2 linked regions of the Tamandua tetradactyla genome follow. The protein of the gene in region 1 purifies or fractionates together with the protein of each later gene. This does not show direct contact. Links are inferred from orthologs where the notes say so. Each region holds a gene or a part of one and is shown in the gene's direction. Other genes may lie near its edges.

Region 1 (7,997 bases):
TGAGCCATCAAAAGCCAGAAGTTGGAACACTAAGCAAGGAGGGGTAAGGAAGTCTTTGCTTAAGGTAGTTGAGGTTTATCTGCTAAGTTGATTGGTGAGGCCGTGCATCTGAGTTAAAAAGGCTTGAGAGAGTTACTTGGCATAATTTCTCCATCTTCAATGATTTACTACTGAAGTGCAAACATCAATTTTGGACTCTCTCCTGAGAAACGTTTAACAAAGTCAGTGAACTACTGGTACCTTGATATCTTTCTAGATTTGCCAAACTTTGATAGCTCTTTAATAAACCTATGCCTGGAGTTTATCTCTGTCTTTTTTTTTTTTTCTATTAAGGAAACAGATCTACTAGTAAATAGGCAGATGTAAAAATGATCTTCCTCTTTATTTCTCCATTGTGATATATATATCTTAGAATTGTTCAGAAGTGCACTCTATTGTTAAAGCTATTTGTGCCGGGTGTGCTAATGCACTCTTTGATTGAGTGAATTAGCAGTCATAACAATCTGGCAGTCTGGCCATAGAAGTGTGCTCAAATTGATTTGTGTTATGGCTGGACTGGAAAATCTAGTGTTAGTTGTTTTTTGCCCTGGGGCATTGTTTGTACCAAACTCCACTTTTCATTTAATTTTCCAATACATTTCGAAAGATTGAAATGCTTGTGATCAACATTTGATCCAGTTGCATTATTTAAAAAAAAAAAATGTGAAAGTAATTTCAGATTCCAAAAAACCTTGCTTTCAATTAGAGTAAACATAATTAGAGTGACGTCGTGCTCAGAATGGTAAATCTCCCATTGAATCTATTAAACATGTTATCTCCTTGTCCTGTCACTGAAAATAATTCAGTATATATCCGGAATGTACATCTGTATTTTTCTGTGCATGTTTCTAACACAACTTGGGGGGGGGAATTAAAATAATAAAATACTAATGAATCTTTTCTTGTTGCCCTTTCTGCATGTGTCTAAACTGTTTCTGTTTCAGTTAATGATGCTGTAAGAAAAGGATACTTAAAGCTTTTGGGAAAATTTGAGATATTCAAGAAACATGTTTGGATATATTGCCTTTAGGTTACTCGATCATTTTAGTTTTTTACATGCTAGGAAAGCTGCGTTTTCAATCTTTTTTTTTTTTCCTTTTTAAGTAACACTATTAATTACTATATTGAGACCCTGAAGATTTAAAGAAATGACTTATCCTGGCTTTGTCAATATTTGTATCTTTCTTACAATCTTCTGCTTTGCAGGCATTTACCAGAATTATAATGCAGCATGAATAAACCTTAAAACTGACTATTGATTACAGAGCAAGCTTTGCAAAATCATTTAGTCAGTTTCCCCACCTGAGAAATCAGTGAATAAAATAGGTCAATAGATAAGGATAGAATGGATGTAATACAGTGCTATACTTGCTTGGGTTATAAAAAGGGTCAACAATAAGTCACCACAGAATTCATGTTTTTACACTCAATAAAATAAAATGATACTTACCAAATTCCAACTATAAGCCCATCTTTCTAAGGATCTATTCTTCTTTCTTTTAACCTTAGGCTTTGTAAGTATGCTTTTATGTTGTCCTAATTTCAACAGAAGCATTTCCTTGTCATTTCCCCTTTTAACCATTTAGGATGCCCTTATCATCGGACTAAAGTGCTTGTTGTCATCCAGGTATTCACCATGACTTTAGCTGCAACAGCTACTTTGTATTTTCTTACTGTCTCCTGCAACCTTGCAGCTCTTCTCAAACCTGCATTTCAGAATGTACTGAACTCTATCCTGTGCCGATTTTTAAGTAATAGATGGTGAGACCTGAGACCACTCTCTCTTAGTTTCCATCATTCGGTTATCGTCTGGGGGAAGGGAGGGGAGGGGCTAGGAGGGAGGGAAGAAAATACCTTCCCTTAACTGGTACAAGCTCAGCTTCAAACGATATCCTAGGAAAGAAATTAAAGACTTCTTAATTAGTGCAGCAATTAAGCTTTCTTGGTAGCATTTTAATCAGCACAGGCCCTATCAAAGGACAAACAGAACGATTTGCAGGTCTTTGAATTTTAAACAGTCTTATTGATTTCAGCACAATGCATCTTCACAAAACACAAGGAGAATTTTCTAATATCCGTTACAGTACTTTGAGTTTTGCTTATGCAAATTGAGTGAATGCTGGGGAAGGTGAGATGGAGGGAGAGGACCTGAAGCAACTAGATGTAAAATAATAAACAAACAAGACAAAACCCCTGAAAGCTATAGATGCAATGGAAAAGAGTGAAGATTTGAAATCTTTCTTGAGTTGATTTATCTGCTGTTGTTAAATACTTTTTGTCTTAATCATTGGTAACATTTCTCAAAGGAAAAAGAAAAAGAAACCCTGAAGATTCTCAAGGCTTTTCTTTCTTAAATCCTTTCATTTATATTATGCTTTTTTTTCTAATGCTATTGCTTGATCAAAGGGGTAAGTGGTGGTTCCTTGAAATGGTTTATAGACCTAAGGTCTTTTAAACTCCCATAGCTTCTGACTAAGCACGTGCTGGGAGGCACAGGTTTCCCTGCAGTGTAAAATTTGGAGTTTGCTTCGAAGCAGGGTGGGATTATGGTCTGGTCTGTTATCATTACTTCCTGTCTGTGGTTTACAAATGTGGCAGGTATTGGGTAAATGATAATTTAAGGAAATATGATAAATAAGAATGGTAAGGCAGATTTTCAGCATTTAGTTTCCATTTTTTCCCCAAATGTGGGTCTAGAATTTAAACAAGCTGTAGTTTAACGTTTTAGAATTATGTCAGAGTTTTAATAAAGTTGTGCTTGTGATTCCAACATAAGATTAATTTTTCAAGGCTCAATACATGGCAATTTGAGATTATTTTTTAAAAAGATAGTATTTTCTAAAATGTGTATAAATGCTTAAGGAAGTGTTTCGATGGTATATGTTATAAATTGAATCATACTTTTTAATTGAGGACAGAGAAGTGGACTGAAAAATTAATATATATTATTTCTGAATATATTAAAATACATTGGCTAACCTCGTCCAAACAATTGTGTGAACTTTAGTTACACTTCTAGATGCTATTCTACTTTCCTGCAACAACCAATTTTCTGAAATCTTAGATCCCAGAAAAGCCTCCTGATATAACTGCTATGCCCCAAAAAGTTTAGCATAAAACGTAGACAAATTAGTCATGTCATATCTTTCTGTAGATATTTCCTGTAGTTTTTGACACTAAACTTCAAAAGGTTTAAGGAGTTAAAATGATAGAGTTACATGATCATAATTTCAACACCAAATGGCAGAAATTTCATTATGAAATCTCCCAGCACTGTGAATCTGCTGCTAATAGTGTATATTAAATATCTGTCAAATGCTAAAGCATTGTTTAATATCTTGTGTTACTGAACATGTGTAGACAGATTCAAAGCCTAATTATTTAAGATTTCTAGAGATACAAGCAGGGAACAGATTTGACCTATGCTCAAATCATATTTTCGTAAGAAATCCTTGAATAAAATAACACATGCAACAGGTTAGAAAAGAAAGGGAGAGAGGAAAGAAAGGAAGAAGTCAGTCTGAACTCAGCCAAATACTGTTTGTTAAATATAGCTTCCCTTTCTGCCTTTACAAATCAGTTAGTTAGCATTGTTTTTGCTTTCATTAGTTACAAAACACATTTTCACGATATAGTAAGAAGGGATTCCCAAAATATATTGATACTTTTCAATTATGGGGAGAAAAAAAAACTTGTATCATTCAAACAGCACACTGGCAACTACCCTTGGGTCTTAAAGGATAAGGGTTATTGGTTACTGTGCAATACAGGTAAATTAAGCTTAGAATTTTGGGTAAGAAAAACCGGCGTGTTCTTGTTTTCTACTTTTTAAATCTTCAAGGATGTCTCATCTGTTTGGATTGTCATGGCCTAACAGACACTCCTGATCTGCTTTTGAGCCAAAGTGAAGTTATTCTGAACGATCCACATCGTGGAAAGCATTTCTTTCTTTCCACAATCTATAAAGAAATAAAGAATTAAACACAGCGTGTTTCATTATTCTTAAGCAATTTCGGACTTTTTCCCCCCGCAACTTTAAAACTGTCCAATCTGGAATTTCCACTATCTTTATACAAAATAATGTAACAGATAAACAAGCAGATGCATAAAACATACGTTTTGCTTACTTTTCCTCAAATTAATTTCTTAATGATTATGCAGTGAGGGGATGTGTTTCCATTTATATCACGGTGCAAGAACGCGAGGAGATATGTCCTAAATCCTTTAAGAAGAGCTCGGAGCCTTCTGGCTCCTCTTTAAGTTGGGAGGCGATTGCTTAGAAGCTTTAGAAGAAAACTACGAGCCGTCGCGGACGAAACGGAACACAGACATGCAATCTAACGGTAGTAGAAGAGAAGGAAGAGGCAGACAGATGATCTCCCTCTGTTTTCCGAGCGCCACTTCTGAGTCCCTGGCTTGTTCTCTTCGTCCCTCCCACAGTTTCTTTCCTTTTCCCCCTTCTGCCCCCTCCCCCCTCCTCCTTTTCTCGCACGCACGCACACACACACACACACACACACACACACTCTCTCTCTCTCTCTCTCTCTCTCTCTCTGTCTCGCGCTCTCGGAGTCTTCTCCGAGTCCTGGTTGGATAATTTGGGTTAATACTAGTGAGTGAGGTTTTTGCGGCTTCAAAGGGTATTTCAAGTTTCCGGAGCTCCTCCCCTCTGCACCGTGTGACAACAACAACTCGTCCAGCCGGCAGCCTGCACTTTTCAGCTCATTTTCTCTCTGTCATTCACCTCTCAATCTTTGATCAATGTACTTGCCAGGGAGAACGCAAGTCCTTCAAACCTCCTCCTTTTCACCTTCATCCTTAACTTTGTGCTAGAGCGGGACCCACACAACAACAGCCGACCCTCCCCGCCCCCGCCCGCCCCCCCAAACCAGCCCCCGATCCCAGCCCCCGGAGAGGACTCGCATTTCGACTTGCGGGACACTTTTGTGCGTTTCTCTCCAGAGCGCCTCTCGCGCTCGCCCCTCCTGCGCTCGCTCTTTCTCACCTCTTCTCTAGCCTTCGTTCTCCCTTCTCCTCTGGTTCTCTCCTAGAGTTGTTGTTGCCCCCTCGCTCCTGCTCCCCACCCCCTCCCCCTGTTTTTCCTTCCCCTCCCCGGGGTTTGTGGCAACTTTTCCCCTCGCTTCTCCTCCTGTTTCCCCTTATATGTGACCATGGCAGTGCCGGCGGCTTTGATCCCTCCGACCCAGCTGGTCCCCCCTCAACCCCCGATCTCCACGTCTGCTTCCTCCTCCGGCACCACCACCTCCACCTCGTCGGCGACCTCGTCTCCGGCTCCGTCCATCGGGCCCCCGGCGTCCTCAGGGCCAACTCTGTTCCGGCCGGAGCCCATCGCGTCGGCGGCGGCGGCCACAGTCACCTCCACCGGCGGCGGCGGCGGCGGCAGCGGAGGCGGCGGCGGCAGCGGCGGCAACGGAGGCGGCGGCGGCGGCGGCGGCGGCAACTGCAACCCCAGCTTGGCGGCGGCGAGCGGCAGCGGCTGCAGTGGCGGTGGCAGCATTAGTGCTGGCGGCGGCGGCGCCTCCAGCACCCCCATCAACGCCAACACCGGCAGCAACAGCAGCAGCAGCAGTAGCAGCAGTAGCAGCAGCAGCAGCAGCAGCAGCAGCAGCAGTAGCAGCAGCAGCAGCAGCTGCGGCCCCCTCCCCGGAAAACCCGTGTACTCGACCCCGTCCCCAGTGGAAAACACCCCCCAGAATAATGAGTGCAAAATGGTGGATCTGAGGGGGGCCAAAGTAGCTTCTTTCACGGTGGAGGGCTGCGAGCTGATCTGCCTGCCCCAGGCTTTCGACCTGTTCCTGAAGCACTTGGTGGGGGGCTTGCACACGGTCTACACCAAGCTGAAGAGGCTGGAGATCACGCCGGTGGTGTGTAATGTGGAACAGGTTCGCATCCTGAGGGGACTGGGCGCCATTCAGCCCGGAGTGAACCGCTGCAAACTCATCTCCAGGAAGGACTTCGAGACCCTCTACAATGACTGCACCAACGCCAGGTAAAGAACCGGGGGGTAGCCTCCGCCGCTCGCGGCCCCTTCCCGCCCGCCTGCTCGCCCTTCCCTGGCTCCCTAATCGGCGCCGCTCGCTCCGCGCGCCCGCGAGCCGCGCGCCCTGGTGAGCGCAGCCCTCTCCTCCCCTTCCTCCGGGCTCGCCAGCCGCGCCCGAGCGCCTGAGAAGTTGGCACCTCACCCTGCCCAGATCTCGCTCTTCGGGCCCGAGCCACCCTTCGCTGGCCAGGGCTTGGCGGCTGTGGGACGCGCGCACCCCCGACCCTTGGGCCGGAGGGGGCGGGAAGGGGGAGAGGGCGCCTTTCCGGGAGCCACAGCTTCTTTCCGGACGCGCTGGCGTCTGGAGACCCCTCTCCGCGCTGCCGCCGCGTGTGAGCTCCCCGCGACCCGGCTTCCGCGGCGAGCCTCGGGCCCAGGCAGGCTTCGTCGGAGGCGCCGAACGGCGTACGGAGGGCTGGGAGGTCGTCACTAGGCTGGGCTGGGTTCGAAGGGCAGGGCGTCACGCTCCGAGTGAGGGGCTGGCGGACAAGCCGAGCGATTGGACCAAGAGCCGGGGAGGGCACTTCGAGGTCGTGAGGGGAGCGACTTCGGAAGCCGTGAGGCGCGAGGCAGTCCCTGGGCACCCGCAGCCACTTCAACCCCAAAACCCGGAGGGGAAGCCCGCCGAGGGGAGGGGTCTGTGTGTGCGCGCATGTGTGCTGTGCGTGTGTACGCGTGTGAGGTGTGCCTGTGCGTGTGCAAAGGAAATAAAGGGTGTCGTTTGCCCCGGGGCAGAAGCGAGGGCACCAGCAGGTGTCCTTTAAGGGGAGATGACCATGGGGTACTCAAGACTCTTGCAAGCCGCGCTGAAGACGTGGGGAAGAAAGAGGACAGCGGTCTCTCTCCAATTTTATTATTCTTTCTTTCTTTCTTTTTAAAAGGTTGCCAGTAGCTCTAGCAATCGAGCAGGTGCAAGCTTTGCACTGGGAGGCTCTCAGGGGTCTGAGTCCTCCGTGTGGTCGCTTCCCGACCCGCGGAGCGCGCGCGGGGCAGAGACCGCAGGATTGATTCTCCGGCGAGACCAGTTTATGCTAATGAACGCGCTGTGGGGGAGGATCTACCGAGAGGGGGCGGAAGTGGGGCAACTTGTCAGTTTCGGGGTAGAAATGATCTTTCCACCCTTTTACACTTCCTCCTGTCCCCATCGTTCGCTCCTGGGAATCTCAGAGGAAAAAAAAATTAAGATCTCACAGGAGAAAGTGAGGAGGAAAGTTGGAGCCTTGGAGCAAACGGGTGGGACCTGGGCGCAAAATTTGCGGGGACACTCCCTTGCTCTTCAAATCAGATTAAAGACCCAGAGAGTGAACTGTTTTACTCTTTCAGGGTCCGTGTTCCTAGTAAAGCTAGGGTAACAGAGGTGGAAAGGAAAGAGGATTAAAACGACACCAGAAGGAAACCAGGTGAAAAAGCCCCGGGCTATTTTTTACCTTGAAGGGAGATTCCCACCTAGTGCCCAGGAAAGCTGTAAAGATGAAAGACTCCAACTCCGACCCACCAAATGTCCCATCGGAACAATCCAGAAACTTTGTTTCCCGATTTATTTGCTATTCTTTGCAAATAGGGTATGGGTGTGTGTTTGGGCTTTGAACTCGCATTTTTACTATTTTGGGGGTGGATGCTGAGTGTATGTGTATGTGCGCGCGCGCGCGTGGGTTTGCGGTGGCAGTAAAGATCGAGAGGCAATCTTTGTTAGTAATCATTTACTCAGATAATTGGAGTCCTTGGACAACCAGAAGATATTTGCAAAAAAAAAAAAAAAACTATTAAAACTACTCGAATCAGGAAGGAAAACGATTACAGGATAGTTAGAAAGAACGCTAGTTAAAATCTAAGGCCAGTTCAGATATGGTTGTTATAAAATCTTCTACCTATCCAGTAAATTGGTGAAGTGCTCTTT
Region 2 (7,378 bases), on another chromosome or scaffold:
TTTTTAAGAGTTCATTATGGCAGTATAATCTAGCCTATTTTAACTGATAAAAACAGGCACCTAGACATAGGGAAATGCAAAAACAACAGTATACACAACAACAAAACTAAAGATTCATTTACAGGGCAATAATTAAGAACATTGTTATCAGAGGATGAAAGGATGACGATCCAATTGACAAACGTATCACTGTGATAACTAAGATGGCAGATCAAGAACCTACCCAACAAAAGCAAGAAGCTGTAAACCAGAATGTTAGTAGCATCTGTTGGTTGCTGTTGGGCACTTTTAGAAAGTTATTATAAAAATAAAAATAATAATTTCAAAAAATCAAACAAAAAAAATTCAACAAATGGTGCTGCAATAACAGGATACTCACATGGAAAAAGAATGAAATGTGACCACTGCCACACAGCATACCAAAAAAACAGAAAAGCTAGAAAGTAAGGGCCAATTAAAGAAGGCCTGGATATAAGAATTGATCAAGGGGAGGGCCTTCAAATTTATTGTTAACACCTCTGGATAAGATGTGTTAAGATGCTACACAGCACATATTTTCAATTGGACAAAATGGCTCAGGAAAAGGGAGAAAAGGTATGACTCTCCCATTGAAGCCCAATAAGCCCAAAGCATTCAAAATCAAGTTCAGGGTGGGAGAAATGAGAGCAAGAAAACTGAAAAAAATGTGACAAACCACAGAACTTAGAAACATGTTTAGAAAAAAATAGTGGCTGAGCTATTAGCACATGGAATACCTGGAATCAAAAAGGTAAGAAACATAATACATTTCTGAGAGTTGTACTGCGAAAAGAATGTGAGACTGGATTCAAGTTTGGGGATTCAATATCCCCCAAATATTACAATTTTATTTAAAAGCCTATTTTCCAATGCCTACATAGAAAGCAAGACTCTCTCAAAGGGCAAAGCCAGGGGTCACAGAAAACAACAGACAGGGCAGATATACTCATGGAGTGATACCAGAGTCTAATTAGGGTACTGGATAGAGAAGTCCTCCAAATGTCTGCACAGTGGACCAATATCTGCTGTGGTCTCTGAATTCTTCCCTTTCCAAATGGGAGTGTTGGCTGCAGCTGTACTGTCTCTGTCCCACGATTACATTTTGAGGTGTGGAGGATAAGTATCTTGCCCTTAGATGAAGAGGAGTTACATGTGAATCTGATGTAAACTCTACTACCAGCACCAGAAATCCTGGACAGTGAGCTTAATGCTGAAAATGGATGGTTCTGGTTATCTCCCTTGAGGAAGAGTGAGGGAGTTTTTCCTGTGGAAGGAGAGTAAGCCAAACATTTTGTGAACAGAAAGGGAGACTTACAGAACATTAACATTCCCCAAATATTCCTGGCTCTCTCCCTTCAATACACCTGGCAGGATTACACAGATTTAAAGTTAGGCATGCTCATGTAACTTGCTTTGGCCAATGATATGTGTCCCTTCCAGGTGAATGCTCTGAGAGCCACTGACTGATATGCCTCATTTTCTCCCCCTAGCCAAGGTAGTTGTAAGAAGCATGTATCGAGATGAAGCTCCTTCCTTAAGTGACTCCTTAAGTGATTATAGGGGCAGAATCCCCTGAAAACCCACGTCGGACATGGAACATGAGCAGGAAATAAACTCCCATTGTGTTAACCCACTGAGATGTTAAGGTTGCTTGTTATAGCTTTCCTGACTGATGCTGGGAGTGAAAGATGAGACTGGAGAGAGCAGGAGAATAAATTATGAAGGGCCCCTTCTGCCAGGCAAAGGAGTCAGAACTCTCCTATAAGAAGGCAATGAAGATTTCCAAGCAGGGGCGTTAACATGAACAGATTTGTTATTTTTTGGATAAAATACACTATTTCTCAACAGAAGGAGAAAATCAGCCTACTAAACCACATAAGGCAGGGAGGAACATACAGAATCTTCAGGAAAAAAGGTATATACCCAAATTCCTAAGTTTTGGAATTTCTAAATAAGGGAGCTGAACGGAGTCTCTGAAAGGAGTTACAAATCAGAGGATCAGGCGAGACAATTTCTCCTATCCTACAAACTCCATTTTCTCTGCAGACAACTAATATTTCACAAGAAAGTTTGCCAGAGCCAAGAAGATAACAGGGAATATTAATTTCCAGCTCCCTGTATGACTTAGCAAGATACTTAAACTCTCTGAATTTACTTCCTTATATGTCAAATACAGATAATAATAATTATACATATTATATATATTATATCAGTATACACATATATCAAGATGGTTGTAGGGAGAAAACAGCACATTTAAATTGCCCGAAAAATGGTAAGTGTTTAAAATATGAAAATTATTCTTATTGTTATTGTAAAAATTACTAAGAACACAAGTTTTCTGATTACAACAAAAAAATGATTATGGACAACAAAACAAAGAATGAGCCTCCTTCAAGGAAGGAACTGGATCTTGTCACCCCTGTATACCTACACACTCCTCCTCACTGTACCCCAGCCTCAGTGGGCCTGACTCACAGTAGCCACTGTTATCCTCTGCGGCATGAGTGAATGAGAAGTGAGCGCCCAGAGTGAAGAAAAATTGGCAGATTTCCCACTGACACCACACCAGCTGCTGTTTTACTGTTGATTCTGAAGTCTCAAAGCCACAAATACCTTAAGGCTGGAGATTATGAACTCAAGACAGAATTCCCCCAATCTCAGAGGAGAAAAACCAGAATTAGACCCTAGGAACTTAAACTGCTTCAATTTCAAGCCCCAGTCTCAGACAGAAGACCTGATAAAGAACTGATTTGTAAACCTTTCCTCCCTCACCCCTTCACTCACCACCTCCCATTACTGCTCCTCACAAGAAAGTGGACTTGTACTGCCAAATCAAACTCTCCTAACCTGGCATTTCATCCACTTCCTAAAAGGCTCGGGGAAACTTCCAGGAAGGGGGCTATGGAGGGACCAACTCCCTAGGCCTGGAAGCTATGATGCTACGTTGACTCCGGGTAGCCGAATGAGGTAGATGGGTCCCACTCGCAGTTGAGGGACCTGAAGTACCGAGTTCAGTGCTTTGCTTCATTTCACAATATAGCAGCCCTGAGCCACGAGAGAACCCACGATTCCGGATTTCGGTATTCTTTACACCACTCACTTCTGCCCATAAAGGGGGGGGGGGGCGGTGGGGGAGAGATGGGGGTGGGGAGAAATCAAATTACAGAAAAAAGAGCCACTTACATGTGTCTAGCGCTTCCTAGAGGCTGCACAGAACTTGGGCCCACCACCCGGCAGGGAGCAGAGATTCTGAATACTAGTTCTACCCCTAAGGCGTTGCGTGACTATTGCTAAGTCTCTGCCACTCTTGAGACTTGGTTTCCCGGAAGCAAATCCGAGCCGGAGTGGTGAATGTATCGTGGACAGACGATCACCCGGGTTCCCCGAGTTTCGGATTTCCTAAACAAACGCTCGTTCCCAACTGGACGCTGAGTTTGCCCCAACCCTACCTCATATAAAAACCTCCCCTCTGAGGCAAAGCTATAACCCCCCGCACGCTCTCCCTTAGGAGACTTAGGGGGTAGAGGATGAAATGGGGTGCAGCGGAGACTTGGCGGGGCGCCCAGTTTCAAGCAATGCAAATCATTCGGGTCTAGGCACAGCCAGACGGCGGCGAGAACTGTCGCTCCTGAACTCGACCAAGACAAACTTCGGAGCGTTCTCAATGGAGGGTGTTGACTCCCAACACACCGCCCCTAAACTGAAGCGCACTTTCACTCGCCCCACGGGAGACTTTACAGAACCACCTTAAGGGCTGCGTTCCCGCCCTCCGGAAGTGCGGGGGTGGGGCACAGACGCGGGCTGCCAGCCTCCTGGTCCCGCGAGGTAGAGAAATGTCCGTAGGTGACTTCGAGCCGCGACCCCGCAGTGGGAAAATGCCACCGCCCACACACCCTCGGTCCCAGACTACTGGTCCGGTTCCCCAGCCTTCCGGGTCCCCGCATCCCGTGCATCCCTGTCGCGAGCCCTGAACTTGAGCCTGCCTCTGTCAGAAGGTGCGAGCGTCAGCTCCCGTCCGCCCGCTCGCGGCGGCCACCGTCACTGGACAGTCAAACCCCAAGACGTCAGCCCACAATGCATCGGGCGGGTTGGGGAGAGGCGGGTGAAGAGAGGCGAGATCGCGCGGGAGGGGGAGGGGGAAAGGAGGAGAAAGAAGGGCCCAACTGTAGGAGGGCAGCGGAGCATTACCTCATCCCGTGAGCCTCCGCGAGCCCAGAGAAGAATCTTCTAGGGTGGGGTCTCCATAGCGACAGGCGGGCCCGCCCCCCAGAGAGCGACGCAAGCCAATGGGAAGGCCTCGGGGTGACATCATGGGCTATTTTTAGGGGTTGACTGGTAGCAGATAAGTGTTGAGCTGCGAGCTGGATAAGGGCTCAGAGTTGCACTGAGTGTGGCTGAAGCAGCGAGGCGGGAGTGGAGGTGCGCCGACTGGGGTAGACAGACAGATAGACACAGTCAGTCAGTCAGAACGGCAGTGGAGCCCGACCTGCAAGTCTTATTTTCTTTTCCATTTCCTTACTCACTGCCCAGAGCTAGAGCCTGTGGCTCCGGGCTGGTGTTTGGGGAGCGCCGGGAGAGCCCCTTCTCCAGCCGCCCCCGGGAGGAGAGCCCCGCTGCCCAGGCACTGACTGCCGCGGAGAGCGACGACTGCCTGGGGAAGTCCAGCGAGTGGCTGCAGCGGCAAGGAAGTTTCCCGACCGGGAGAGAGAACAAGTACCGCAGGTCCGGGAGAGAACTTTTGCAAACCTTTCCTCCGCCTTAAGCTGCCGCGGCGGCGGTAAAGAAGGCGGCGGCGGCGGAGTGAGGAGAGAGAAGAGGGACGTGCACCCCAGCTTCGCTCTCACGCGTTGCTGAACTTGGGCGAGCGCGAGCCGCGGCTGCCGAGCGGTCCCCCCTCCCCCTGGTAGCGGAGGAGGGGACAGTCGTCGGAGTCGGGGCGGCCGAGACCTGTCGCCGGCCGGCCACTGCGGGGTCCGAGCTGACCAGCGCCTCCGGGAGAGCCGGTGTCCCCGAGAAGCGAGTCCGTCTGCGGAATCCGAGGAACCTTTACGCCAGACAAGCGCTCAGTGAGTGACCGCGACTTTTCAAAGCCGGGCAGCGCGCGCGAACAGACAAGTAAGAAAGAGTGCAGGCGGCACTTAACCCTGAGTTCCCTGGAGCGAGCCGGTGAGGAGGGCGCCTAGGGGAGGACAGCCCGCGGGTGTGCGCACTCTTAGAGAAACTTTGCTTGCCCAAGGCCCGGGGAGGCGCGGGTGTTCCCCGTTTGTCCGCGCGCTGTTGCGGCCCCCAAAACTTCTGCGCGCAGCCCAGACTAACCCCACTTCAAGCGACGGACTGTTCTATGACTGCAAAGATGGAAACAACCTTCTACGACGATGCCCTCAACGCCTCGTTCCTCCAGTCTGAGAGCGGCGCCTACGGCTACAGTAACCCCAAGATCCTGAAGCAGAGCATGACCCTGAACCTGGCCGATCCTGTGGGCAGCCTGAAGCCGCACCTCCGCGCCAAGAACTCGGACCTCCTCACCTCTCCCGACGTGGGGCTCCTCAAACTGGCGTCTCCCGAACTGGAGCGTCTGATAATCCAGTCTAGCAACGGGCATATCACCACCACACCGACCCCCACCCAGTTCCTGTGCCCCAAGAACGTGACCGACGAGCAGGAGGGCTTCGCCGAGGGCTTCGTGCGCGCCCTGGCCGAACTGCACAGCCAGAACACTCTGCCCAGCGTCACGTCCGCGGCACAGCCGGTCAGCGGGGCGGGCCTGGTGGCCCCGGCGGTGGCTTCCGTGGCGGGCGGCAGTGGCAGCGGCGGCTTCAGCGCCAGCCTGCACAGCGAGCCGCCGGTCTACGCCAACCTCAGCAACTTCAACCCCGGCGCGCTGAGCAGCGGCGGCGGGGCGCCCTCCTACGGCGCCGGCAGCCTGGCCTTCCCCGCGCAGCCCCAGCAGCAACAACCGCCTCAGCCGCCACACCACCTGCCCCAGCAGATCCCGGTGCAACACCCGCGGCTGCAGGCCCTGAAGGAGGAGCCGCAGACGGTCCCCGAGATGCCTGGGGAGACGCCGCCCCTGTCCCCCATTGACATGGAGTCACAGGAGCGGATCAAGGCGGAGAGGAAGCGCATGAGGAACCGTATCGCTGCCTCCAAGTGCCGGAAAAGGAAGTTGGAGAGGATCGCCCGGCTGGAGGAAAAAGTGAAAACCTTGAAAGCGCAGAACTCGGAGCTGGCGTCCACGGCTAACATGCTCAGGGAACAGGTGGCACAGCTTAAACAGAAAGTCATGAACCACGTTAACAGTGGGTGCCAACTCATGCTAACTCAACAGTTGCAAACGTTTTGAGGAGAGACTGTCGGGGGTTGAGGGGAAACGGAGAAAAAAAATGACACGGAGGGACGGACTTGAGAACTTGACAAGTTGCGAGAGAGAGAAAAAAGAAGTGTCCGAGGACTAAAGCCAAGGGTATCCAAGTTGGACTGGGTTGCGTCCTGACGGCGCCCCCAGTGTGCACGAGTGGGAAGGACTTGGCGCGCCCTGCCTTGGTGTGGAGCCAAGGAGCGGCCGCCTGCGGGCTGCCCAGCTTTGCGGACCGGCTGTACCCGCGCGAACAGAACGTTAAACTTTTCTTTAACATTGACCAAGAACTGCATGGACCTAACATTCGATCTCATTCAGTATTACAAGGGGGGAGGGGGAGGGACAGGGATTACAAACTTCAATAGAGACTGTAGATTGCTTCTGTAGTACTCTTTAAGAACACAAAGGGGGGTGGGGCGGGGAGGGGAGGCGGGAGGACGGTTTGTAGAGAGGGAGGCTGAGCCAACAGATGAACTCTTTCTGGCCTGCCTTCATTAACTGTGTATGTACATATATATTTTTTAATTTGATGAAAGCTGATTACTGTCAATAAACAGCTTCATGCCTTTGTAAGTTATTTCATGTTTGTTTGTTTGGGTATCCTACCCATTGTTGTTTGTAAATAAGAGATTTGGAGCACTCTGAGTTTACCATTTGTAATAAAATATATAATTTTTTTATGTTTTGTTTCTGAAAATTCCAGAAAGGATATTTAAGAAAATACAATAAAATATTGAAAAAGTATCCTCCACCTCTTTTCTGCATTATCTGTAGATTAATAATGAGTGGAGTTGAAAGAGTTAAGAGTGTCAAAATCTCAGAGCTTCTTACTATCAAGCAGTAAAAACTACTCTCTACTGGACTTTAGAAATGTAGCTGATGCTCTCCTCAAGTTACATTATTGCCTCCCCCCAACTATCTATGTAGGATTGCTCACCAAAGGATAGTGTGGTCTTTCAGGTTGCTTTAAAGTTTGTATCAAGTGGCATGTGCTGTGAC

What was found.
Region 2: the proteins of DACH1 (region 1) and JUN purify together in Homo sapiens (affinity purification with western blotting; 3 studies listed by BioGRID and IntAct, with this or other methods). This does not show direct contact. The link is inferred for Tamandua tetradactyla from reciprocal best matches to the Homo sapiens genes DACH1 and JUN.

Annotation. Positions count from the first base shown.
Region 1 is NC_135330.1:138,971,683-138,979,679, reverse strand, and holds the start of DACH1 (dachshund homolog 1), read left to right. Parts: upstream 1-4,981; 5' UTR 4,982-5,210; coding exon 5,211-6,049; intron 6,050-7,997. UniProt on the Homo sapiens protein: Transcription factor that is involved in regulation of organogenesis. Seems to be a regulator of SIX1, SIX6 and probably SIX5.
Region 2 is NC_135328.1:162,050,120-162,057,497, forward strand, and holds JUN (transcription factor Jun), read left to right. Parts: upstream 1-4,361; 5' UTR 4,362-5,362; coding exon 5,363-6,364; 3' UTR 6,365-7,123; downstream 7,124-7,378. UniProt on the Homo sapiens protein: Transcription factor that recognizes and binds to the AP-1 consensus motif 5'-TGA[GC]TCA-3'.